7 linked regions of the Oryctolagus cuniculus genome follow. The protein of the gene in region 6 interacts with the protein of the main gene of each other region in a pairwise test. Links are inferred from orthologs where the notes say so. Each region holds a gene or a part of one and is shown on either strand. Other genes may lie near its edges. The genes, in order: VPS52, CARD9, MAD1L1, KATNBL1, BEND7, MFAP1 and BICD2.

Evidence for each region.
Region 1: the proteins of MFAP1 (region 6) and VPS52 interact in binary tests that used the Homo sapiens proteins (3 or more experiments, as listed by UniProt). The two-hybrid records come from large-scale screens. The link is inferred for Oryctolagus cuniculus from reciprocal best matches to the Homo sapiens genes MFAP1 and VPS52.
Region 2: the proteins of MFAP1 (region 6) and CARD9 interact in binary tests that used the Homo sapiens proteins (3 or more experiments, as listed by UniProt). The two-hybrid records come from large-scale screens. The link is inferred for Oryctolagus cuniculus from reciprocal best matches to the Homo sapiens genes MFAP1 and CARD9.
Region 3: the proteins of MFAP1 (region 6) and MAD1L1 interact in binary tests that used the Homo sapiens proteins (3 or more experiments, as listed by UniProt). The two-hybrid records come from large-scale screens. The link is inferred for Oryctolagus cuniculus from reciprocal best matches to the Homo sapiens genes MFAP1 and MAD1L1.
Region 4: the proteins of MFAP1 (region 6) and KATNBL1 interact in binary tests that used the Homo sapiens proteins (3 or more experiments, as listed by UniProt). The link is inferred for Oryctolagus cuniculus from reciprocal best matches to the Homo sapiens genes MFAP1 and KATNBL1.
Region 5: the proteins of MFAP1 (region 6) and BEND7 interact in binary tests that used the Homo sapiens proteins (3 or more experiments, as listed by UniProt). The two-hybrid records come from large-scale screens. The link is inferred for Oryctolagus cuniculus from reciprocal best matches to the Homo sapiens genes MFAP1 and BEND7.
Region 7: the proteins of MFAP1 (region 6) and BICD2 interact in binary tests that used the Homo sapiens proteins (3 or more experiments, as listed by UniProt). The link is inferred for Oryctolagus cuniculus from reciprocal best matches to the Homo sapiens genes MFAP1 and BICD2.

What each region holds. Positions count from the first base shown.
Region 1 is NC_091436.1:135,863,866-135,866,941, forward strand, and holds the end of VPS52 (vacuolar protein sorting-associated protein 52 homolog), read left to right. Parts: intron 1-1,337; coding exon 1,338-1,449; intron 1,450-1,640; coding exon 1,641-1,759; intron 1,760-1,932; coding exon 1,933-2,079; 3' UTR 2,080-2,576; downstream 2,577-3,076. UniProt on the Homo sapiens protein: Acts as a component of the GARP complex that is involved in retrograde transport from early and late endosomes to the trans-Golgi network (TGN).
Region 2 is NC_091432.1:236,670,302-236,673,082, forward strand, and holds the end of CARD9 (caspase recruitment domain-containing protein 9), read left to right. Parts: intron 1-240; coding exon 241-432; intron 433-885; coding exon 886-927; intron 928-1,017; coding exon 1,018-1,063; exon of another isoform or gene 1,064-1,360; intron 1,361-1,678; coding exon 1,679-1,782; intron 1,783-1,892; coding exon 1,893-2,153; 3' UTR 2,154-2,281; downstream 2,282-2,781. Other genes in the region: DNLZ (DNL-type zinc finger protein), read left to right, coding at 2,448-2,672. UniProt on the Homo sapiens protein: Adapter protein that plays a key role in innate immune response against fungi by forming signaling complexes downstream of C-type lectin receptors.
Region 3 is NC_091450.1:37,075,668-37,079,167, forward strand, and holds part of MAD1L1 (mitotic spindle assembly checkpoint protein MAD1), read right to left. Parts: intron 2,657-3,500; coding exon 2,516-2,656; intron 1,464-2,515; coding exon 1,284-1,463; intron 1-1,283. UniProt on the Homo sapiens protein: Component of the spindle-assembly checkpoint that prevents the onset of anaphase until all chromosomes are properly aligned at the metaphase plate.
Region 4 is NC_091443.1:55,837,463-55,840,962, forward strand, and holds part of KATNBL1 (KATNB1-like protein 1), read left to right. Parts: intron 1-750; coding exon 751-801; intron 802-885; coding exon 886-975; intron 976-1,303; coding exon 1,304-1,393; intron 1,394-1,513; exon of another isoform or gene 1,514-2,021; coding exon 2,022-2,373; 3' UTR 2,374-3,500.
Region 5 is NC_091444.1:69,144,408-69,148,497, forward strand, and holds the start of BEND7 (BEN domain-containing protein 7), read left to right. Parts: upstream 1-1,290; coding exon 1,291-1,351; intron 1,352-3,614; coding exon 3,615-3,698; intron 3,699-4,090. Other genes in the region: PRPF18 (pre-mRNA-splicing factor 18), read right to left, coding at 1,160-1,292.
Region 6 is NC_091443.1:66,698,324-66,701,823, forward strand, and holds part of MFAP1 (microfibrillar-associated protein 1), read right to left. Parts: intron 974-3,500; coding exon 754-973; intron 1-753. UniProt on the Homo sapiens protein: Involved in pre-mRNA splicing as a component of the spliceosome.
Region 7 is NC_091432.1:146,114,843-146,117,454, forward strand, and holds the end of BICD2 (protein bicaudal D homolog 2), read left to right. Parts: coding exon 1-110; intron 111-1,657; coding exon 1,658-1,967; 3' UTR 1,968-2,112; downstream 2,113-2,612. UniProt on the Homo sapiens protein: Acts as an adapter protein linking the dynein motor complex to various cargos and converts dynein from a non-processive to a highly processive motor in the presence of dynactin.

The sequences.
Region 1 (3,076 bases), on a different chromosome or scaffold from region 6:
CATTAGCAGGGAGCTGGATCAGAAGTGGAGCAGCCAGGACACGAACCGGCACCCATATGGGATGCTGGCACCACAGCTCTGGCCCCCACATACCTTTTTTAAATCTGCAGGCTTTCTTTCCTTCTTTCCCCCACTACTCTGCAATTTGTCAGAGAAACTGAGTCATTGAGTCATTTGTCAGGTAGAATGATGGACAGTCTAGGTCTTGCTCGTTGCAATTGCATGGTGTGGCTAAACTGTTCCTGTCAAGAGTATTTCCCATAAATGTTTAGTAAGATGGAAAGACTTGATCAAGTTCCAACTAGATTTTTTTAACAAGGATTTTAAGAATAATTAATTTGAAAGGCAGAGAAAGAGAGTTCCCATCCACTGTACACTGCCCAAATACCCACCACAACCCCTGCTAGGCTGAGCTAAACCTGGGAGCCGGGAGCTCAGTCCAGGTCTCCCACGTGGGTGGAAGGGACCCAGCCACCTGAACCATCACTTTCTGCCTTCCAGGGTGCACATCAGCAGGAAGCTGGTATCAGGAGCCAGAACCAGGGGGGCTGGTGCTGTGACGTAGTGGGTAAAGTGCCTGCATCCCATATGGGTGCCAGTTTGAGTCCCGGCTGCTCCACTTCCAATCCAGCTCTCTGCTACAGCCTGGGAACGCAGTGGAAGATGGCCTAAGTGCTTGGACCCCTGCACCCACGTGGGAAACCTAGAAGAAGCTCCTGGCTTCAGATTGGCCCACTCTGGCCATTGCAGCCATTTGGATAGTGAGCTAGCAGATGGAAGATATCTCTCTCTGCCTCTGCCTGTCTGTAACTCTGCCTTTCAAATAAATAAATAAATCTTTAAAAGGAAAAAAAAAAAAAAAAAAAGAACCATGACTCAAACCCAGGCACTCTGATAATGAGATATTAGCATCCCAACCAGTGTTTTTTAATTGCTAGGCTAAATACCCACCCCTACATTGGTGTCTCTTTGAGGCTCTCAAAAGAGACTGAGCCTTGGTTTCCCCACCCAAGACGGTATCAGACCCAGTTTCTGGATATCAGAGTTGCCAAGTTATTTGCCTTGTGGTATCCCTGCTGCTCCCACCCCCTGGGCTCCAGCTCTGATCCCAATTCCCTGTTTTTGTGCTCCCAGCTCAAGTTAGTTTTTTGTTTTTAAAAAGGGAGATCCTTGGAGATTTCCGCTATCTGTTATGAAACCAGCGATGTCTTAAAGTGTATGACCTTCTCAGAGATGCGCTGTTCTGCTGTGGGCGTGTACTGAGCACCTACCTGGAAGTCTGCTGACTGGGACACTTGCCCGTGTGTGTGTGTGTGTGTGTGTGTGCTTCTCTCCAGGAATTTATTGAAGAGTTGCTGTCTCCCCCTTTTGGGGGTCTGGTGGCATTTGTGAAGGAGGCCGAAGCTTTGATCGAGCGTGGGCAGGCTGAGCGACTCCGAGGGGAAGAAGGTGTGGACGCAGTGTGGTAATGGGGTGAATGGAAAAGAAAAATGCCAGGACACAGGTTACTTGGGGAGGAAGTGAGGCAGGAAAGATGGGCTTGATAGGGCGGATGGCTGTGCCTTGGGGAGGGCTTAGTGGGCTCCGTGGTCACCTGACCTCGTCCCTGTCTATTACTCTCCTTTTCCTCCTGCTGCCAGCCCGGGTGACTCAGCTGATCCGCGGTTTTGGCAGCTCCTGGAAGTCATCAGTGGAGTCTCTGAGTCAGGACGTAATGCGGAGTTTCACCAACTTCAGAAATGGAACGAGTATCATCCAGGTGACCTGCGGCTCCCGTGTGTCCCCATGGCTGCTTACTGCCCTTTCCCCTGCGCTCGGCGTCAGCCCAGCCACCCTCGCTCTTCACCACCGGCGGTGCTGGACGATTCCTAGTCATCCTCCCTAGCGCCACCCCACTCCCCAGTCTGACCCCTCGGTGGCTTCTCTGACCAGGGGGCGTTGACCCAGCTGATCCAGCTCTACCATCGCTTCCACCGGGTGCTGTCCCAGCCCCAGCTCCGCGCCCTCCCTGCCCGGGCTGAGCTCATCAACATTCACCACCTCATGGTGGAGCTCAAGAAGCACAAGCCCAACTTCTGAGGCGCCGGGACCTCTCCAGGGACGCCGCACCCCAGCTCCTGCCCTTCTCCTCCTGGGCGTCCCCTTCCTGTTGGCCCCGGCCCCCCAGGCCTTTGACATGCCCCAGTCTGCCCTCGCTCCCGGGACCCTGCTCCGCAGGGTGAGCTGGAGCCCTTGGCCTGCTGAATCTCCCAGTGTCTTCAGGCTGCCCCAGACTCTCTCCTGGTTTTCCAAACGACCTTCCTCCTGTTCCCAATTTTGTCAGCCTCCTCCTCTGCCCCCACACACCCCAGGCTCTTCCCCAGTGAAAACCTTTGCTGCCTCGGTCTCTCACTCAGCTCTTGGCAAGGGGAGACTGCCTCCAAGTCATTTCTTTATTCCTTCACTCAAAGTGATGCATTTTCGGGAGCTTTCTGACCTGAGATCTCAGCAGTGTGAACACTAACCCATCCCCTCCTGGCTGGAGGATTAGGCCAAGGCCAGTCTGCAGAAAACAATAAATATTTAATACAACTTGATACTCTTCACCCATTTCCTTGCTCCTGCCTCCTGGGGCCTCCAAGCAGCCATCTCATCTCCAGAGTCCGTTCCTTCTCTGACCACTTCCTGGGCTCACAGCCTTTTGGGGGATATCTCTAAGGAAGGGGCAGGGATAGTAACATCTGACCTCTAGTGGCCTCAGGGAGGGGACTAGTTCGTGAGTAACCAAGCTACTGGTGGCTTCTGGTTAAAATGGCAGATGCGGGCAGGCACTGTGGCACAGCAGGTTAAGTGTCCATGTAAGATGCCCATATCCCAGGTGAGAGTTCTGACCTCGGTCTCAGCTGCTCTCTCCTTATTCCAGCCTCCTCTAATGCCTGGGAGGCAGCAGGTGGTGGCCCAGCAACTGGGTCCCTGCCACTCACCTGGGAGACCGATGTAGTTCCTGGCTCCTGGCTTTGGCCTGGACCAGCCCTGGCTGTTGAGAGTATTTGGGGAATGAACCAGAAGATAGAAGATCTGCCTTTCAAATAATTTT
Region 2 (2,781 bases), on a different chromosome or scaffold from region 6:
CGGGTCTCCCCCACAGCGGGCAGGGCCCAGTACCCCCAGGTGCGTTAGCGGGAAGCTGGATCAGGAGCAGAGGCGGGGCCTGGTCCCAGGCGCTCCGACCCGGGCAGCGGCCTCACGCAGGGCGCCGCAGTTCCCCAGACGCAGACCCAAGTCCACGGGCAACAGCGCGGGCCCGGCCCACGTGGCCGGCTCGTCGCAGAGCCGTGTCGGAGGCTCAGGGCCCACGCGTGTGTCCCGCAGGCCATCGCCACGCGGGGGCAGCTGCACTCCCAGCACGCGTGCAGCCTGCAGGAGAAGGACGCCCTGCGCAAGCAGCTGCGGGAGCTGCGGGAGAGAGCGGACGAGCTGCAGGTGCAGCTGCTGCAGTGCCAGAGCCGCCTGCTGGCCGCCGAGGGCAGGCTCCAGGGGCAGCAGCCGGACACGCTCGCCCTGGTGGGCCCCGGGACACGGGGGGGGGGGGAGGTGGGCCCCAGGACACGGGGGGGGGTGGGCCTCAGGGACCCCAGGACACGGGGCAGGGAGGGGAGGGGAGGTGTGGTGGGCCCCCAGGACACGGGGCGGGGGGAGGTGCTGGCCGCTGAGGGCAGGCTCCAGGGGCAGGAGCCGGACACGCTCGCCCTGGTGGGCCCCCAGGACACGGGGGGGGGGGGAGGGGAGGTGTGGTGGGCCCCCAGGACTCGGGAGGGGAGGTGATGGCTGCCGAGGGCAGGCTCCAGGGGCAGGAGCCGGACACGCTCGTCCTGGTGGGCCCGGGGACCCCAGGACACGGTGGGGGGGGAGGTGTGGTGGGACCCCAGGCGGGGGGGGAGGGCCCATTCTGGCTGGGGGCTGCAGGAGGCGCAGCCTCCCCTCGCCTGCTGACCGGCCCCTGTCCTGTGGCTGCAGAGCTGGGACCTGGAAGACGGCTCGCCCAGGGACTCGGGGGAGGTGAGCAGGGCCCCTCCCCACACCAACCAGGAAAGGGGGCCGGGCCGGGTCTGGGGAGGGGCAGCGGTGACCTCGCCCTCTCATCGGAAGCTGCAGCTCCCCGGGGACCCGGAGGACGCCCGGCCGTGCGACAAAGGTGAGGAGGGCGCCGTGCCCGGCCCACACCTGGTCCCTGCCCGCACGGGAGAGAGGCTGGGCACAGGGACTGTGACCTGGACAGCCGCTGCGCGGGGCCGGGCTGGGGCCCCCACCCTAACCCAGGGAGGACACGGCAGGCCTGTGGCCCCCAGCCTGCCCTCAGCCAGGAGGCGGTGACAGGAGCCCGTGGGCGGGGCCTGGGCGTTGATTGGGCAGAGCGGGATCCGTCAGCAGCCTGGAGGCGGGGCTGGGCGGCAGGAGGACTGGCCCGCGTGCGTGCGTGCGTGCGGTTCAGGTGGGCGGTGGGCCCAGTGCGCGGTAGGGGGGTCCCTGGGGGAGCCAGACCGACTTCCTCAGCGTCAAACGCGACCCAGCCTCTGGGCAGGAGCAAAAGCGGAAGCTGCAAATGGAGAAGTGTGGGTGGGCGGGCACTGGCCTCGAGGCCACGGAGCCCCGCGTGGCCGAGGCGGGCGGGACCCAGGTCCAGCTCAGCTCTGCCCAGCGGTGGCAGGTGCGAGCCGTCCGCGGCCCTGCAGGCGCGCACACGTGTGTGTGCCCAGGACACGGCCGAGGCCTGGCCACCGGCGCCGAGTGGGCTCTGGGCCGCCCCCAGGGGCCGTGGCGTCCACAGCTCTGCCGGACCCACGACACGGGACTCCGCTCGCAGGTGGCCTGGGGGTGACCGAGCCGCACAAGGAGATTTCACCGAGCCCCCACGTAAGGCCAGGGGCGGTCCCCCACCCCGGGAGCCCCCAGCCCAGAGCCCCCTGGACGGCTGGGGAGGGGCGCGGGAGCCTCGGCCGGCGCTGAGCCCGCCCCTTCCCCAGGACGCGGGCCTGGGCAGCGAGCCCCCGGAGAAGGAGCGGCGGCGGCTCAAGGAGAGCTTCGAGAACTACCGCAGGTGCGCGCAGGGCTGGGGCGGCGCTGAGCGCGCGCCTGCCCACCGCGGCCCGCCCACCTGCGGCCCTGCCCACCCGCGTCTCCGCAGGAAGCGCGCGCTCAGGAAGACGCAGGACAGCTGGCGGCACGGGGAGGTGGACCGGGACAACACGACGGGCAGCGACAACACGGACACCGAGGGCTCCTAGCGGCCCCGGGACACACCCCCGCGGGGACCCCCCTGGAGCCCGGGGCTCCCGCCGTGGGGGCGGGGGGTCAGCCGTTGTACCCTCCGCCCGAGCACAGCAGGCGGGCAATAAAAAGGCACCTAGAACGACCCGCGTCCGCGTCCTCGCGCGCGTGTCCCGCGCCGAGCCCGGCGTGCGGGGCCCGGGAGGCCGGCGCAGCGCCGCGAGCCGCCGCGAGGGGGCAGCAGAGCGCGGCACCGGAAGTCGGCGCCGCCACTTCCGCCCGCCCCAAGATGGCGGCGGCGTGACCGCGGCATGCTGAGGGCGGCGCTGGGGCGCGCTGCGGGGCTGCTGGGTCGCCCGCGGCCCCAGGGACCCGGCCCGAGGCGGCTGTGGGGCCGCGGGGCCCGCCCGGCGGTTGCGGGGAGTCGGCGGGCCGGGGGCTGGGCCTGGGGCTGGCGGCACTCGAGCTCGGAGCCGGGGCCCCAGGCGGCGGGGCGCGTGCAAGCGGCGCACTACCAGCTCGTCTACACCTGCAAGGTGGACTTCCGGGAGGGGCGGGGCCGCGCGCGCGGTGGGTGGGGCTGCCCTGGGGGCGGAGCCTCCCTGAAGGACACGGCTCGCAGTGGGTGGGGCTGCACTCGGGGGC
Region 3 (3,500 bases), on a different chromosome or scaffold from region 6:
CTCCGTGGCTCCACACAGCGCCGTGATGCTGAGCGCCACGCAACAGGGACGGGCAAGGCGCGGGCCGTCCAGCTCCCAGCTCTCGGGCACACACGCCTCCCCGGGGCCACAGCGCCCGGACACCGGCTTCAAGGCCACCTCAGGGGCCCTCAGAGGCTTGCAGGCCTCGCTGAGGATCAGAGAAACGCAAATCCCGAGACCCCACCTCCCCCTCCCACCACCACAAGAAGCGGCATTTCCAGAAACGCCACCCTCCACGGCAGGCCAGGCTGCGGCGAGCCCTGACGCGCCGGCCGGGACCCTGGGACCCCTCCTGCGACTCTGCCCACACAAGGTAACTCGGCAGGCGCAGAGGCCGCAGACACGCAGCTCTGCCGCGCTGATGCCAGCGCGGTGAATCCAAAGCCCAAGACACCGGGAAACGACAAGGAACGAACGGTCAACACTGAAGTTCATGGTCACCAAAACCTAAGAAGTGCTCAACCGACTGACAACCACAGAACAGAGAATCAGCACGTTTACTACGCTTACGTAGGGAAGCACCGTGCGAGAAGCGTCGCTGAAAGCGAAGCCGGGGCCGGCGCTGTGGCGCAGTGGGTTACTCCTCCGCCTGCAGTGCCGGCATCCCATCTGGGCGCCGGTTCTAGTCCCGGCTGCTCCACTTCCCATCCAGCCCTCTGCTGTGGCCTGGGAAAGCAGCGGAAGATGGCCCAAGTGCTTGGGCTCCTGCGCTCACACGGAAGCACCTGGCTCCTGGCTTCAGATCAGCACAGCTCTGGCCAACTGGGGAGTGAACCACCAGAGGGGGGACCTTTCTCTCTGTCTCTCTCTCTCACTGTCTGTAATTCTACCTCTCAAATAAATAAATAAAAATCTTAAAAAAAAAAAAAAAAAAGAAAAGAAAAAAGAAAGCAAAGCCACCCAGCGTGGTGCAGGGGCTAGGAGCACGCCAAGCTCACTGCCGCCAGCAGGCTGGTCCCAGGCCCACGGGCTGCACCCACCTCACCGGCCGTGGCCAGGCTGGTCCGGGCCTGTGTACTGCACCCACCTCGCCGGCCACGGCCGGGCTGGTCCGGGCCCGCGGGCTGCACCTACCTCGCCGGCCGCGGCCAGACTGGTCCGGGCCTGTGTACTACACCCACCTCGCCGGCCGCGGCCAGACTGGTCCGGGCCCACGGGCTGCACCCACCTCGCCGGCCGCGGCCAGGCTGGTCCGGGCCTGTGTACTACACCCACCTCGCCGACCGCGGCCAGACTGGTCTGGGCCCACAGGCTGCACCCACCTCGCCGGCCGCGGCCAGGCCGTCCTCCTTCTCCCGCAGCCTCTGGCTGGTGGCGTCCAGGCTCTGCTGGCACAGCCGGTGCCGCTCCCGCTGCTCCTGCACCTTCCCCTCGGCCGCGGCCTCCCGCTCCTGCAGCTGCCGAATGCGCGTCAGCAGCTCCTGATTGCGGTCAACCTCGCGCTGTGGAGAGGGAGAACAGGCCAGCGTTGGGGACAGCCCGAGGGGGCGCTGGGAGGACTCCTCCACGCCCCCCTTTCGGGACAGCCCACCCAGCCCAGAGAAGAGCAGGGCAAGAGCCGCCGGCCACGTCAGGAGGAACCAGGACGAGGCGGCACGGGCCCTGCTGCCGTGGGGACCAGGGCCCAGGAGGACACTGGGCACAGGCCACCATGCCCACCTCGCCGTGCACGTGCAGGGGCCACTGCTCAGGGAGGAGCTGGAGCAAGGGAAACGCGGAATTCCAAACTGGGCTTGGAGAGGAAAGAGCTACTGCGGCGCCGGCAGGTTCTACCCAGGCTCGGCCGGCATCGAGTGAGCCGGTGTCCCCCGACAGCCACCCCAGCGAGACCCAGCCTGGACCCCAAAACCCTCACACACTGGTGACTTTCTAAGCCTGCCACCTGCGTGCTACCAGGCACTTCTGCCGGCTCTGCTCCACACCTGCACAGGGAGGAGGGACGCAGGAGGCCTGGCTAGGGAACATCTGCCCGCGTCAGCGCCTCACGACGGGGACTGTCCTCTGCTTCAGGCCACCCTCCCCCGGGACATCGGGCACAGGTGACGCCGGACTCACGCCATCAGATGGCCTCAGATGAAACACCCTGGCAACCCCAACACCGAGCACCGCGGGTTTCCAGAGGGCTGGCTCGGTTCTCAGGGACAGGGAGGGACGGGGCAGGCCCTGCCCCCACCTGGCTGCTCTCAGGGACGGGGAGGGACGGGCAGGGATGGGGCAGGCCCTGCCCACACCTGGCTGCTCTCAGGGACGGGAAGGGACGGGGCAGGCACGGGGCAGGCCCTGCACCCACCTGGCTGCTCCCAGGGATGGGGAGGGACGGGGAGGGACGGGCAGGGACGGGGCAGGCCCTGCCCACACCCAGCTGTCCTCAGGCACGGGGCAGGCCCTGCCCCTACCTGGCTGTCCCCAGGGTCGGGGCAGGCCCTGCCCCCACCTGGCTGCTCCCAGGGTCGGGGCAGGCCCTGCCCCGGCAGGCACGCAGCCCGGCACCCACCTCGCAGTTCCTGGCGCTGGTGCTGGCCGCCCTCTCCAGCTCCACCCGGGCCCTCTTGTGGCTCAGCTCCATCTGCATCTTCTCCCGCTCCACCTGGATGAGGTAGGACTTGGAACGGATCTGCTCTGCTCTTTCCTCCAACTGCAGGGCCAACAAAGCACAGGGCAGCTCGGTACGCGTGTCAAACGTGCCAGCGCCCCAGCCGTCCGCACAGACCCTGCGCTCGCCCAGCCTGCGCTCGCCCGGCGTCCCACCTCCCCGCTGGCCTGGGCTGCCAGGAGCAATGGGAAGCTCCCTCAGGCCCTGCCACGTGGCCCCTCCAAGTCAAGTCTGGCTTCCGCCTTGGACACCTCCCTGTACTTTCTTCTTGAAGGCAGAGCAACACAGAGACAGACAGACAGACAGACAGACAGGATACTGGCTTCTGGTTTACTCCCCAAACACCGGCAACAGCGGGGGCCAGGCCAGGCTGAAGCGGGAGCCTGGAGCTCCACGGGGCCACCACGTGGGTAGCAGAGACGTCACTGCAGCCTCTCACTTGCAGTTTTTTTCTTTTTTAAAGATTTTATTTATTTGAAAGGCAGAGCTAAGAGAAGCAGAGGCAGAGAGAGAGAGAGAGAGAGAGAGAGAGAGAGAGAGAGAGGGGTCTCCATCCGCTGGTTCACTCCCCAGATGGACTCAATAGGTGGGACTGAGCCAATCCGAAGCCAGGAGCTGCTTCCGGGTCTCCCCTGTGGGTGCAGGGCCCAAGCACAGAGCCACAGCAGAGAGCTGGATGGGAAGTGGAGCAGCCGGGACTGGAACCGGCGCCCACGTGGGATGTCGGCACTGCGTGGGGAGCTTCACCGGCTGCGCCACAGCGCCGGCCTCGGCACCAGTCTTTTCAAAGGGCTCGTACGGTTAGGTCGGGCTCCCCCGGCAACCTCCCTGCCTTAAGGATAACGGACCTGGGAACTGAATCCCGCTGCAACAGCAGCCCCTGGGG
Region 4 (3,500 bases), about 11 Mb from region 6:
CATTGAAATTGTTAAATTTGTGGATCTCTGGGGCCAATGTTGTGGCATAGTGGGTAGAGCCACTGCCTGTGATGCCAGCATCCCATGTGAGCACTGGCTCCTACACTTCCTATCCAGCTCTCTGCTAATGTGCCTGGGAAAGCAGCAGAAGATGACCCAAGTGCTTGGGCCGCTACACCCATCTGGGAGACAAGGGAGAAGCTCCTGGCACCTGGCTTCAGCCTGGCCCACCTTAGCCCCAGCCATTGTGGCCATTTGGGGAGTAAACCAGTGGATGGAAGATCTCTCTTTCTCTCCTTCTATAACTTTGCCTTTCAAATAAATAAAAAAATTTTTTAAATGGTGAATCTCTTGAAAGCAGTATGAAGATTTTAACATAAATAGGGAATTTTCGGGGCCGGCGCAGTGGTGTAGGGGGTAAAGCCGCTGCTGAGGTGCCGGCATCCCATATGGGTGCCAGCTTGAGTCCCAGCTGCTCCACTTCTGATCCAGCTCTCTGCGATGGCCTGGGATAGCAGTAGAAAATGGCCCAAGTATTTGGGCCCATGCACCCGTGTGCAAGACCCGGAGGAAGCGCCTGGCTTTGGATCGGCACAGCTCTGACTGTTGTGGCCAATTGGGGAGTGAACCAGCAGATGGAAGACTCTGTTCTCCTCTCCTCTTTCTCTCTCTCTCTGTAACTCTGACTTTCAAATAAATAAAATAAATCTTGAAATAAAAAAATTAGGAATTTTCTTTTTGTACCCACAGGATAGAAGATCTTGGAGTTGTAGTAGATTGCCTACCTGTACTCACCAATAGGTAAAAACAATATTTTACCAAAAAAATTACAGAACAAATTATGACTTATTAATGCACATATTTTTAACATAGTATTTATTTTAGTTTACAGGAGGAAAAACACTATATCTCACTTGGCTGCTGCGTGGACTTGTTGCCTCTAGTAAAGTCATTACTTAAAAGCAGATTTGAAGAGTAAGTGCCAAATGAATCAATTGTTTTTCTTTTTGAACATCCTTAATTTTGTTTTCATGAGTTCATATTAGCAAACTGGGCTATGTGAGGCATGTAGTTTCTGTTTTCCATGAGCTTATAGTATAATTAGAAGAACATTAAGTGATTAAATCATAATCATAAAAGGGTTTTAAAAGGGTTACATAAAATATAGTTTATGAAATAGATCGTGAAACTAGTGAAGTAAGTTTATAGAAGGGATGAAAGATCAATGTCTGTTTTTGGAGAAGGGAAGTGTCTTTTGTAATGGCTTTTTAGATGAAAACATTTTGTAACATTGTCATTTCAGATATGTAATAGTTGGTTTAAACTGGCTTCAAGCAGTCATAAAAAGGTGGTGGTCAGAACTGTCATCCAAATCAGAAATCAGAAATGATGGGTGAGTATGTCTTTAAAGGTACCGTCGTGCTGAAGCTTTTTTCAAAAAAGCCGCTTGATTAAACTAGGTGGTAATTTTGTACTGGTATCATCAGCATATATTTATTCTTTTCATTTTCAGAGAAATACTGAGTTGTGATACATGAAAATCAAAACATAGAGGTTGAGTTCCAGAGCCCAGGAACCCCTGTATCTCTTCTCGTAAAACCCAACCCTTCATTTAAGAAAGAAAAAGTTCAATGATGATTTAACAGGGGTTTAATTAGTAAAGGAGAGAAAAAAATACCTGTAATGGGATAAGGGTTGGAAGCATCCTGCAGGGTCCTTAGATTGCCTAGACATATCCTGAGAGTATGATGTTGATTACAGTTCTGAAACTATATTTATAATTATAATTTGAGGACTGCTTTGGTGTGGAAATGCAGTTATTCTACCAAATGAGCCAGATTGTCATGAAACCATAAAAAAAAGAAAATCTCCCTACAATCCCCTTAACATTTATAATTTTCTTACATTATAGTTTTCTTATAAATACTTGAAAATTTTAAACTGTTTTCATCAAGTGAATTTACTAACAAAGGCCATATGCATCTATATTTGCTTTCTCGTTTTTCTTTTTTTCCTCCTAGAAATATTCAGATTTTAAGACAACAATTAAGTGGGTTGTGGGAACAAGAAAACCATCTTACTTTGGTTCCAGGATATACTGGTAATATAGCTAAGGTAATCTCTGTTTTTCTCTTTAATATTTATTTGAAAGGAAGAGTTACAGAGAGCGAGAGAAATAAGATCATCCATCCACTGATTCATGCTCCAAATGGCCACAATAGCCAGCGTTGGGCCAGCCCAAAGCCAGGAGCCTGGAGCTTCATTTGGGTCTCTCATGTGGGTGCAGGGATCCAAGGATTTGGGCCATCCTCTGCTGCTTTCCCAGGCGCATTAACAGGGAGCTGGATCGGAAATGGAGAAGCTGGGACTTGAACCTGGTACACGGTAGTGCTGGCCCCAATCTACATTTAAACTTAAAAATTAGGCATTAAACCAAGAAATAACATAGGATACATTTGTAAATGAGCTCTTCAGTTTCTAGACAAAATAATTGAGTACTGTTCTAACAAGGTGTTAAGTCAATTTATTTCTCTTATTTATTTATTTATTTATCTGAAAGGCAGAGCTACAGAGAGGCAGAGTCAGAGCAAGGTCTTCCATCCACTGATTCACACCCCAAATGGCTACAATGGCTAGAGCTGGGCCGATCTGAAGCCAGGAGCCAGGAGCTTCTTCTGGGTCTCCTATGCGGGTGCAGGGCCTAAGCACCTGGGCCGTCTTCTGCTGTTTTCCAAGGCCATAAGAGAGCTGGATCTGAAGTGGAGCAGCCAAGTCTCGGACTGGTGCCCATAAGGGATGCCGGTACTGCTGGTGGCAGCTTTACCTGCTATGCCGCAACGCTGGCCCCAAGTCAGTTTCATATTTGCAAGTGCTTAAAGTCCTCTGGATGTGAGTGTGACCTTGGCAGGAAGAACAGGAGTTATCCATTGAATGTTTCATATACAGCCACAGAAATACTATGCCACAGGATATTTAATGACCTAGTTCTAATAGAAAAATATCTGAAGAAAAATTAAGAATCCAAATAAGAGCAACATCAGAAGGAAACAAGGGATGAGGAATACATTCAGATGGGTTTAGAATGTTAATTTTTACTTTGCTTTTGCTAATATTTTTTTTTTTTTTTTGAAGATTTATTCTATTTACTTGAAAGAGTCACAGGGAAAGACAAAGAGGGAGAGAAAGAGAGAAAGGTCTTCCATCCGCTAGCTCACTCCCCAAATGGCTGTGACTGGGCCAGGCTGAAGCCAGGAACCAGGAGCTTCCTCAGGGTCTCCCATATGGCTACAGGGGCCCAAGGAATTGGGCCATCCTCCACTGTTTTCCCAGGCACATTAACAGGGAGCTGGATTGGAAGAAAAGCAGCCAGTACTCAAACCAGCAACCATGTGGGATGCTGGCAATGATTTAACCCACCATGCCACAATGCCAGCCCTACTAATATGCTTTTTGAAAAAGTAACCTTTAAATCACAGAATGAATTGGACATTGGTCTTTAT
Region 5 (4,090 bases), on a different chromosome or scaffold from region 6:
ATAACAGCTTTCTGGTTTTGTCCTTTATTCTAGCATGAACACGTCAAGTGGCAGCGGCCCCTGCACCTGCGTTGACCCTGGTTTCCCTGAGCCTTCAGAGCCATGGAGCATCCCTCATCCTCTCCCACACTCTCCAAAACCCACATTCCAAGTGCTTTCCTGGAGTATAACTCGGGCTCCTCCGTCAGTCTCTCAGATCGGGATAAAGAATTGAAGCTCACTCTTTTTTATACTCTTCTCACCAATAAATTCTAAATCCTCTTTAAGTTTTCTCGTAGAGCAATGATGGGTTAGTCCGACCCCCCCCCCAAAAAAAAAAAAAAAAAAAACTTGCGTAAAATCAGTGAATCTTGCCCACGCACTGATGTTTCGGATCTGGGCTGGCCAAGGAGGGTCCACGACCCCTAGGATTATTTATAACAAGAGGCTCACTCCCAGGGAGCAGCCAAGGGTGACCGGAAAGGGGGTTCTGAGAGCTGAGGCCCCGGCAGCAGCCCCGGCGTCCCCGGGGGCAGGCCGGCCGGGCCCGGGCCAGGGCGCTGCGCCGCGGCCTCCGCGCCTCCTCGGGGCGCCGCGCGGCCAGGCCGGTGGCGGCGGCGGCAGCGGCGGCGGCCCCCAGGGATGGCGGCGGCCGGGCTCCGCCAGCAGGTGGCCCCGGGGTCCCGGCGGCACCGCCCCCTCCGCCGGTGCCCCTCCTCCCGCGGGGGCGGTCAGCGCCCCGGCCGGCTCCGCACCCGCCGCCGCCGCCGCCGCCTCCCTCCCCTCGGCCCGCCCGCGTCCCCGGGGCCGCCGCCGCCGCCGCCGCGTCCGCAAGCTGAGCCCAGGCGGGCCGCGACGAGCGCCCAGGGCGCCGGCAGCTCCGAGCCCTCGCCGCCGCCGCCGCCGCCGCCGCGCCCTCCCCGCCGCCGCCGCCGCCCGGCCCGCTCCCCACGGAAAGTTGCGCTGCGGCGAGCGGCGGCTTGGAAACAGCGAGCCGGCATGAGAGAGGGTCGGGGGGGCGCCTAGGGCACCGGGAGGCGGCGCCGCGCGGGGGCAACTTCTCCCCGGAGCCCACGCCGCCGGCCCCGCGCCTGCAGCCCCTGAGCGGGCTCGCGGTGGTTCCTGCCGTCCCTCGGCCTCCCCCTCCCACCCCACCCCCCCTCCGATTCGAGACGCGGACCTTGGTCCCGGCGGCTCCGCGGCGGTGACACGAGCCCGCGCCGCCGCCGCCGCCGCCGCCGCCGATCCGCCGCCTCAGCCTCCGCCGGCCGCAGTCGCCGCCGCCGCCGCCGCCGCCGCCTTCCCCGCACCATGGAGTTCTCTGAGAGGAAAAGAAGCAGGAAATCCCAGAGCTTCAAACTGGTGAGCCGAGGTAAGCGGTCGGCCAGGGCGGCGGGAGGAAGGACCGGGCGCCGCGCGCTCGGCCCCGCGCCCCCGGCCGCCCGCGGGGGGTCCACGCCGGGGGGCGCGCCCCTCCCGGAGCCCCGGTTCCCTCCCGAGCCGGGCGGCCCCGGGCCCGCGGCCGCACACCCGCACACGCCGGGCGCCGGGGAAAGTTGTGCCGGGGGAGGCAGGATGTTATTGAACGTAAACAAGTCGGAGGGCACGTCAGGAAATTAGCAAACAATGACTCCTGGGGGCCCGAGCCCTCTTTTGGGGTGTCCTCGGCGCTGGGCCGGGGTAGTGGAGGGTTGCCTGGCCCATCAGGCCGAGAGTGGACGGTCGGACCCATGGTTTGTTGTTTTTGTTTTTGCATTTTCGCCCAAAGGGAACGGGGAAAGATGACCGTTGTTCTTGTAAGCTCGGTGGAGGTCCAAGCCCGAAGCAGAATCATTGCCACCCAGTATCTTTCCTAGCTAGCTGGTTTGGCGTGGAAAGGTGTTTCAGACAAGATCACACAGCAGTCAGCCAAGTATCATTGAAAACAACAGCAAAACAAAACCAGCTAGTTCCCGACCATTTAACAGGTGTACAGTACACTCTTGGGGCGTTTATTTCCATCGAGGGAGGGGGAGCTTGGATACAGCCTTGTGCACCGTTCAGTTACTTGTTAGAGTCTGTATCTTCCTGGCTGGACTTTTAAAAAATTGATCAGAACCAAAGATAAGAGCAGTCGTGACAATATGCCTGTCAGAAGCTATTGTGGCACCTTAAATTCTAGGCAGGTGCCTTTTTTTCCTTGTAATGCCATGGGTCCTGATATTTACCGAGTTTAGACCCACCCTGTTTAAATATCTTTGAATCAACTTGAGGTCAAAGCCAAACCACAGAGCCAGTCCACTTTTCCTCTGTTGTATCTAGCATTGGCATCAGAGGCCAGAGCAACACGATTGTTCCAGCAACCTGCAGAAGTCACATGTAAACCGCTGAAAATTAGAAGGCAATTGCAAGTAATTGAGTTTTTCAGACAAAGCTGCTGTGATGTGGATTCAGTAAAGCCCACTTTTGATTAGTCTGGAAAAACAGTTTAATTATAGACATTTTGAGGATCTACCCATAGCTGTTTCCCCTAATTTAGTTTGGATACTGTTTAATGAAAGAGGCCTGAAATAGTTTACGAATTGAAAATATTTGGCCCTCCCCCTCTTTCCTTTGTAATTTTTTTTTTGGTCCACAGCAGTGTTGATTACTCAGTTATTTGTACTTTAAAACTCTCCCTGTGTAACTGCGCTGTTGGTGCTATCTGATTCATTCAGGAATGCAGGCTGCTTTTATGGATGACCTCAGGGAACTTACTACTTTATCTTACAAGTGAGAGTAGTTTTGTCCACGTTGTCCTGTGAGATCCAAGGCCAGAAAAACGGAAGAGCTGTTAACCAGGAGCCTCTATTTTCATATCCAGGCGTCCTCCTTGAGAAATGAGAAGGTTGCCAAAGCGAAGAAGCCTCCGTAGAGAAGCTTTTAAAACAGTGTTTTGTAAACTTTGGCTAACACAGCAAGTTTTTCCTTCTCCTTTTCTTTTTCTTCCTTTCTTTTTTTTTTTTTTTTATATGAGTTTGATTCTTCTCTGTCCTCTGCAGGTGCATTTTTAGAAAATAAACCATTGCCTATTAAATAAAGTGCAGTGGCTGAATAACAAAATTCACTTGAGTGAAAGATGAAAATCTTGCTTTCTCATCCAAATTACACTGAATTTAAAATAACAAATCAGTGTTTCACGTGTGCTTGTCTGTATGCTGCTTAAAGGCTGAGACTTTCTGGGTAACCTGTGAGTGCTAGGTCACTCCGAGGCATACCGCTGTCAGGTTCACGAGAGCGGGTTACGTGGAGATAAATTTGGAGTCTCACCCCAGCCCATCATTTGGCATGATTTTTCTTTTCCCTGTAAACGTACTTCCTATCTCAAAGAAATGAAACCTAATAATTGATATCTGTGGGCAAAATTCACCATGAAAAAAAAAAAAGTGATGAAGCAAAGCTGTTTTCTAAAGTCAGACTGATACTTCAAGACTGTATGCATCAGAGTATAGGCAAAGTTTTAGGGGTTACTATTAACTACAAATTCTATGAATAACTGAATTCTCAAAAATGTGTATAGGTTACACATACTGTATAGAATGAAATTCTAGTCTTTAGTGCTTGATCTTACCTTGAGGTCATTAGAATTCTAATTTTTCCTCATTTTCTCATACCAGATTATCACCATGAGGTTTATAAAGTCTCAGAATTCAGCAGCGATGTTAACGGGGAGGCCAAAGAGACGCAACCCATTTTTTTAGGTAGGTTCCTATGTCAATTAATTTCTCAGCAAAACGGTGTGGCCATTTGCAATTAGGAAAAGAAGAAGGAAAAAAAAAAAGATTGTGCAAGAACGGGAAATGTCTGCCATTGCTTAATGTATGACATTCTTTCCAAGACCTTTTATTTTACAGATTGCCAATAGATCCCTTATTAACATTGCTAAAAGTTGTAATTTCAGACATAAATGTTTATTAGTGTCTACACACAGTGCTAATTATCACTCACTCACAGAGCCAGATGCTGACTGTGCAGTTTTGTCGCTCTGTGCTCACCCCATTTACATTGCATATTCGCTGGCATGCTTCACTGGCAATAGTTTGTGTAATTGGGGTATTACATCTTTGACATCTGGATAACAGAAATTCAATTT
Region 6 (3,500 bases):
TGATTGGAAGACCTCTCAGTGTGTGTGTGTGTGTCTATCTCTCTCTGTAACTCTGTCTTTAAAAAAAAAAAAAAAAAAAAGAGACTACCTTCATTAAACCAACACATCATCTCTGTGTCATATTTTCTTAACAATTAGCACCTCTGGGCCAGAAGTAGCCTACATTAAAAAAAAAAAAAAAGATTTATTATTTATTTATTTATTTGAAGGAATTACAAAGAGAGAGAAAGAAGAGAAGGAAATCTTCCATATGCTGGTTCACTCCCCAAATGGCTGCAATGGTCAGGGCTGGGCCAGGCCAAAGCCAGGAACCAGAAGCTTCTTCTAGGCTTTCCATTTGGGCACAGAGGCCCAAGCACCTGTACCATCTTCCACTGCTTTCCCAGGTATATTAGCAGGGAGCTGGATCTGAAGTGGAGCAACCAGGACTTAAACCTGCACCCATATGGGATGCCAGTGCTGCAGACAATGGCTTAACCCATTATATCACAACACTGGCCCCTAACCTGCTGTTTTCTAAAGCTGCCACTTGTGCAATTTTGGTCATATTACTTTTCTAGCACATTTGTGTCATTTACAAAATGGGACAAGTAATATCTATCTCATAATGTTACCATGTGGATTACAAGAATTAGTAAATATTATCTACTTGGAACAGTGTAAACGACAGTAAGTACTATTCAAGTCCTGGCTATTACTACTGTCGCTGTTGTTAATTAACCTGGTTCAGGGAGACACAGCCCTAGTCATTACCTCTCTTCCACATCTTCACTAATACGGTTCTGTAAACGCCGCAGCCGGGGATCACTTGATGAATCCTCTTCCTGTTCCTCAGGCTCTGCTTCTTGTTCTTTGGCTTTCTTAATGAACTGAAATTCTTCATCCTCTTCATCAGAGGACTCCATAGGGGCGTAGTCAGGCCTCTTCCCGGACACATAACGTTTTACCTTCACTTTCTCCATCGAAATCTCACCTGTGAGATAGAGAATTAATAATGTTTCCCCATGTCTTTGAACTCTTGGTCTTGGCACACAAAACACGGTATTTTCAGTGGACAACAGTTTAAGCAGAAAAAGCAGGTTGCCACCTATCCACCTATTCAGGCCAAGATACAGGAAGGAATTCTTGTGAATACTAACACTAACAGAAATGAGACCAATCCTGGGTACAGTAAAGAGCAGGAAAGGAGGTGGTAAAACATTAGAAAAACACACCCCTTAAAAGGCAGACAGCATCCATCACTATTTCAAAGCTATTCCACACGTTCAAGCTATTCCACTTGAACTAGACCATTAAATGAATTATTTGTAACAGAGCCCAGCACACAATAAGGGTGATTTAAGAGGGAATGTAAAACTAAAAGCTGTTCAGACATTCTTTTAGTTCTCTCTGGAATGTCCAAGGCAGTCTTTTTTTTTTTTTTTTTTTTTGACAGCAGAGTTAGTGAGAGAGAAAGGTCTTCCTTCTGTTGGTTCACTCCCCAAATGGCCGCTGCGCTGATCTGAAGCCAGGAGCCAGGAGCTTCTTCCTGGTCTCCCATGCGGGTGCAGGGCCCAAGCACTTGGGCCATCCTCCACTGCCTTCCTGGGCCACAGCAGAGAGCTGGACTGGAAGAGGAGCAACCGGGACAGAACCCGATGCCCCAGCCAGAGGATTAGCCAAGTGAGCCGCGGCGCTAGCTCAAGGCAGTCTTTATAACACAGTACCACATAACTCAACACCCAAATCTTATCTCTTTGTATTTTCTTTTCCTTTAACTTATGTGCTATCAATCCTACAAGAGTAGGCAATCTCTTGTACAAATACCAACAATTTCAGTGAATAATATGAAAGAAAAGTAACCAATTTAATTTCTTTCTTTAGGAGGAAAACTCTACAATTTTATTGGAAGAGGTAGATAGCCAAGACAATTCTGAATATAGATAGAGTGGGATAGGGTTTGTATCAGACAGCAAGACTTAAAGTTACAGTAATTAAAACAATGTCTGACTCCAAGAGTAGAGAGAGACTAACAGTATAGAGAGCAGAGAAATGTATAGAAGAACCTGAACATATTACTGAAGTGACAGTAAAAATCAGTAGAGGGGTGGGGTGCTCATATCCCGTACTGCAGTGGCTTTGAGTCCTGGCTCTGCTACTGATACCGGCTTTCTGCTAATGTGCATCCTGGGAGGCTGCAGTGATGACTCAGAGAGCTGAGCCCCTGTCTCCATGAGAGAGACCTAACCTGAGTTTCAGATTCCTGGTTTTGGCCCTGATAGCCCCAATGGTTGCAGGCATTTTGGGGAGTGAACCAGCACATGGAAAATTTCTGTCTCTTGCTATCTCTGTGCCTTTCAAATGAACAATAAACATTTTTAAACATTTAATCATATTAAAAAAAACAATCAGTGGAGAGGGGTAGACATTTGGCCTAGTGGTTAAGAGATGTCAGTTAAGACACTTGTCTTTCTTCTCCGAGAGCCCATTTATGACTTCAGCTTCCTGCTAATGCAACAGTGATGGTTCAAGTGGCTGAGTTTCTGCCCCTGTGAGGCAGACCCGGATTGAGTTTCCAGCATTTGGACAGTGAACAAACATATGGGAGCACTCCCTCTTTGATGTGTGCTTGTTCTCCCTCCCTCCCTGTCCCCCTCTTATATATCTGTATCCCAAATAAAAAGCATAAAAAAGGGTGGATAATAGTAAAAAATGGTGTGACAACTGGTCATCCATACAACAAATATTAAAAATAGTAAAGAAAAAATAGACTTCTATCATACAAGCGAAACATCCCAAGTGGATTAAAGATCTGGATATGAAAAACATATCTTAAAATTTACATTCCTGGGGCTGGTACTGTGGCATAGTAGTTTAAGCATCTGCCTGCAGCACTGGCATCCCATATGGGTGCGGGTTCTAATACCGGCTGCTCCACTTCTGATCCAACTCTCTGCTGTGGCCTGGGAAAGCAGAAGATGGCTCAAGTCCTTGGGTCACTGCTTCCACATGGGCAAACTGGAAGAAGCTCCTGGCTCCAGATTGGCCCAGCTCTGGTCGTTGCAGCCATTTGGGAAGTGAACCAACAGATAAAGACCTTTCTCCACACTTGATATTAGCCAAAAGGCCAAGAAACGATATAAGACATTTCACACACACAAAGAAAAAAAGGAGCCGGTGCCATGGCTTAGCAGGTAAAGCCACTACCTGTAGGGCCGGCATCCCATATGAGCACCAGTTCGAATCCTGGCTGTTCCACTTCTAATCAAGCTCTCTGCTATGGCCTGGAAAAACATAAGATTGGACCCCTGCACCTACGTGGGAGACCTGGAAGAAGCCCCTGGCTCCTGGCTTCAGACTGGCACAGCTTTGGCCACTGCTGCCATCTGAGGAGTGAACCAAGGAATGGAAGACTTCTCTCTCTCTGCTTCTGCCTCTCTGTAACTCTGCCTTTCAAATAAAATAAATCTTTAAATAAATCTTTGTCTCCTTCTATAACTCTGCTTATCAAATAAATTTTA
Region 7 (2,612 bases), on a different chromosome or scaffold from region 6:
AACGAGAAGGCCATGGTAACCGAGACCATGATGAAGCTGCGCAACGAGCTCAAGGCCCTCAAGGAGGACGCGGCCACCTTCTCCTCCCTGCGAGCCATGTTCGCCACCAGGTAACTGCGCTGAAGCCCCCCCACCCCCACCTTCTCTGAGGCCTGCGGGTCAGTGCCTGTGTCCAGCGCCACTGCGAGTGACACGTGTTTGGGAAGTGTGGCCCCAGCCCAGCCCTGGCATACACAGTGGAGCTGGAGTTGGTGATGAGGGAGGGTGAGAAGGTGCCCGAGTGCGGAGTGTACTTGGTAGGCGCCGTGTGTGGCCAGCGGCAGCAGAGGGTGTGTGGTTCTCCTCCGTTCCTGCTGCTGCCCGCCTGGCCCCAGGAACCTGGTTCTGTGGGGCTGTTTTCATTTTAGTGTTACCAAGCCCTAGCAAGCCCAGTTGGTCCTGTTTTGTAAGGAGATCAAGGGAGCAGGCCCCAGAGAGGGTGGGGAAGTGCTTGACCGTCCTGGGGTCCTAACGGCCAACAGTTACCAGGCTGACTTGAGGTGACAGACCAGCCCTGAACTCACCTGGCTGGGGCTGCGGGTTCACCGGTTGCCCTCCTAGCTGGAGTGGGATCCCACCTTTGCGCAGCTCCAGGCTTCTGCATCCCCATGACCCTTGGCGTTCAGTTCCTCTTCCCTGAAGGGACTCTTAGTGAGGGTCTCTTGGGTGAGCCAGGGGCTGCCCTGCACGTGCATACCCGACACAGGCTGAGGAAGGTCAAACCCAACACTGAGAAGCAAGGCCCTGCCTTTCACTCTCTAAGGTGGGTGGCACCACCTGCTGGCCGTTATGGGGACTGCCAGGACAGGCAGAAGAAAGGAGTGCCAGGGTTTTTCTAGGAGCGTTGCTTTTCCTGGGGATAGGAAAGTGCTTGAGAGAGATTCCCCAGGTCCCCCACATCTAGAAGATAAACTATAGCTTTGTAAACTTGTTGTGTTTAAAGTCCTGACTTTTCAGATGGAGCCAGGATTCAGACCCTGGAGGCTATGTCCCCAAGGGGATGCCGATTGGCCCCTGTCTGGTGGGGCCCCTGTGTCTCAGTGTCTCTGCCAGGCCCCAGCCAGCCCCTCAGTGGGTTGGTGGGCAGGTGGGCAGAAGCCCAGGGACAGTGTGAAGTGGGTGTCTCTCTCTTCCCCTGCTCTCACCGGGGTGGAGCAGATGAGTCACAGTTAGGCGGAGGCCCAGGCGCCGGGACAGACTGCCTGTGGCATCCACACACACCTGTGCTTTGCTCCGGTTGTCATCAGCACAGATCGATTGAGCACTGGCCATGTGCCTGCAGCAGGCACAAGCCCAGGCCTGCTTTGAGTTCATGCCCACCTCGAAGCTCGTGCTGTCTCAGCATGCCGACCGACCCTGAAGTAGGGGCCACTGCCCCAGAGGAAGCTGCGTCCTGGGGGGCACAGCCTCTTTCTGAGAACCACTTCCTGCCCAGTGAGCTCAGCAAGCCCTGCACCAAATGAGTCCGCTCACTTTACAGGGCCGCGCGGGCCGGTCAGAGGCTCTGTCTGAGCAGCGCCTTGCTGAGTGAAGCCACAGCGAGGCCCCCAGCCCTCTGGGGAGGCTGCCGTGCTGTGCCATGCCGTGCCCTGGCCTCACCGCGCTCTGGTCCCCACAGGTGTGACGAGTACATCACACAGCTGGATGAGATGCAGCGGCAGCTGGCGGCCGCTGAGGATGAGAAGAAGACGCTCAACTCGCTGCTGCGCATGGCCATCCAGCAGAAGCTGGCGCTCACCCAGCGGCTGGAGCTGCTCGAGCTGGACCACGAGCAGGCCCGGCGGGGCCGCGCCAAGGCCGCCCCCAAGGCCAAGCCGGCCACCCCGAGTGTAAGTCACGCCTGCGCCTGCGCCAGCGACAGGGCCGAGGGCACTGCGCTCACCAGCCAGGTGTTCTGCAGCGAGAAGCAGAGCATTTACTGTGATTAGGCTGCGGGCTCCACACACGGCAGCTAACTCGTTCCTGCTTCACTCACTTAACCCAGCACGGCGGGGCCGCGGGGCGAGGCTGATCCTAACGTGACTAACGCACGGGGCCAGGATTCGGGCTGAGCGGCGGGCGGCACCGGTCGGCGGGACTCTCGTGAGCTTCATGTCGCCTCTCATTTCTTACAGCCCTCAGGAGCTCCCTAGGGGCCGAGGTGGGGAAAAGGAGCACATGCCGTCGGGGAAGACAGACACGCAGAAGTGTCTTCCAGGGCCCTGGGTGCTGGGAGAGCCCAAGGGAAGGGGTCCTGGCCCCACCCCTGGGCTCCCGTGGAGGGGCAGGGTCTGAATGGAAACCTGCATGTTCCTCGCATGTCTCACGTCAGAAAGCAGTTTTAGGAGGTTCTGGCCTGCTGAAGGGCCTCAGACCATAGCCTGTACCGGGCCTGGTTTTATGGAGAGAAGGATGTAGATGGTGCAGCATCTCACTGCACATCAGTCAGTGTAAAGGCACAGGATGGCTTTCCCCAAAACCCAGAGAACAGACCTGAGCTACCCTCCGCAGATGGCCCCCACAGCACAGACACAGCCAGTGAGAGCAGGAGGGCAGAGCTCCGCGGCCTTGGCTCCCCATTTGAGACCTGCACA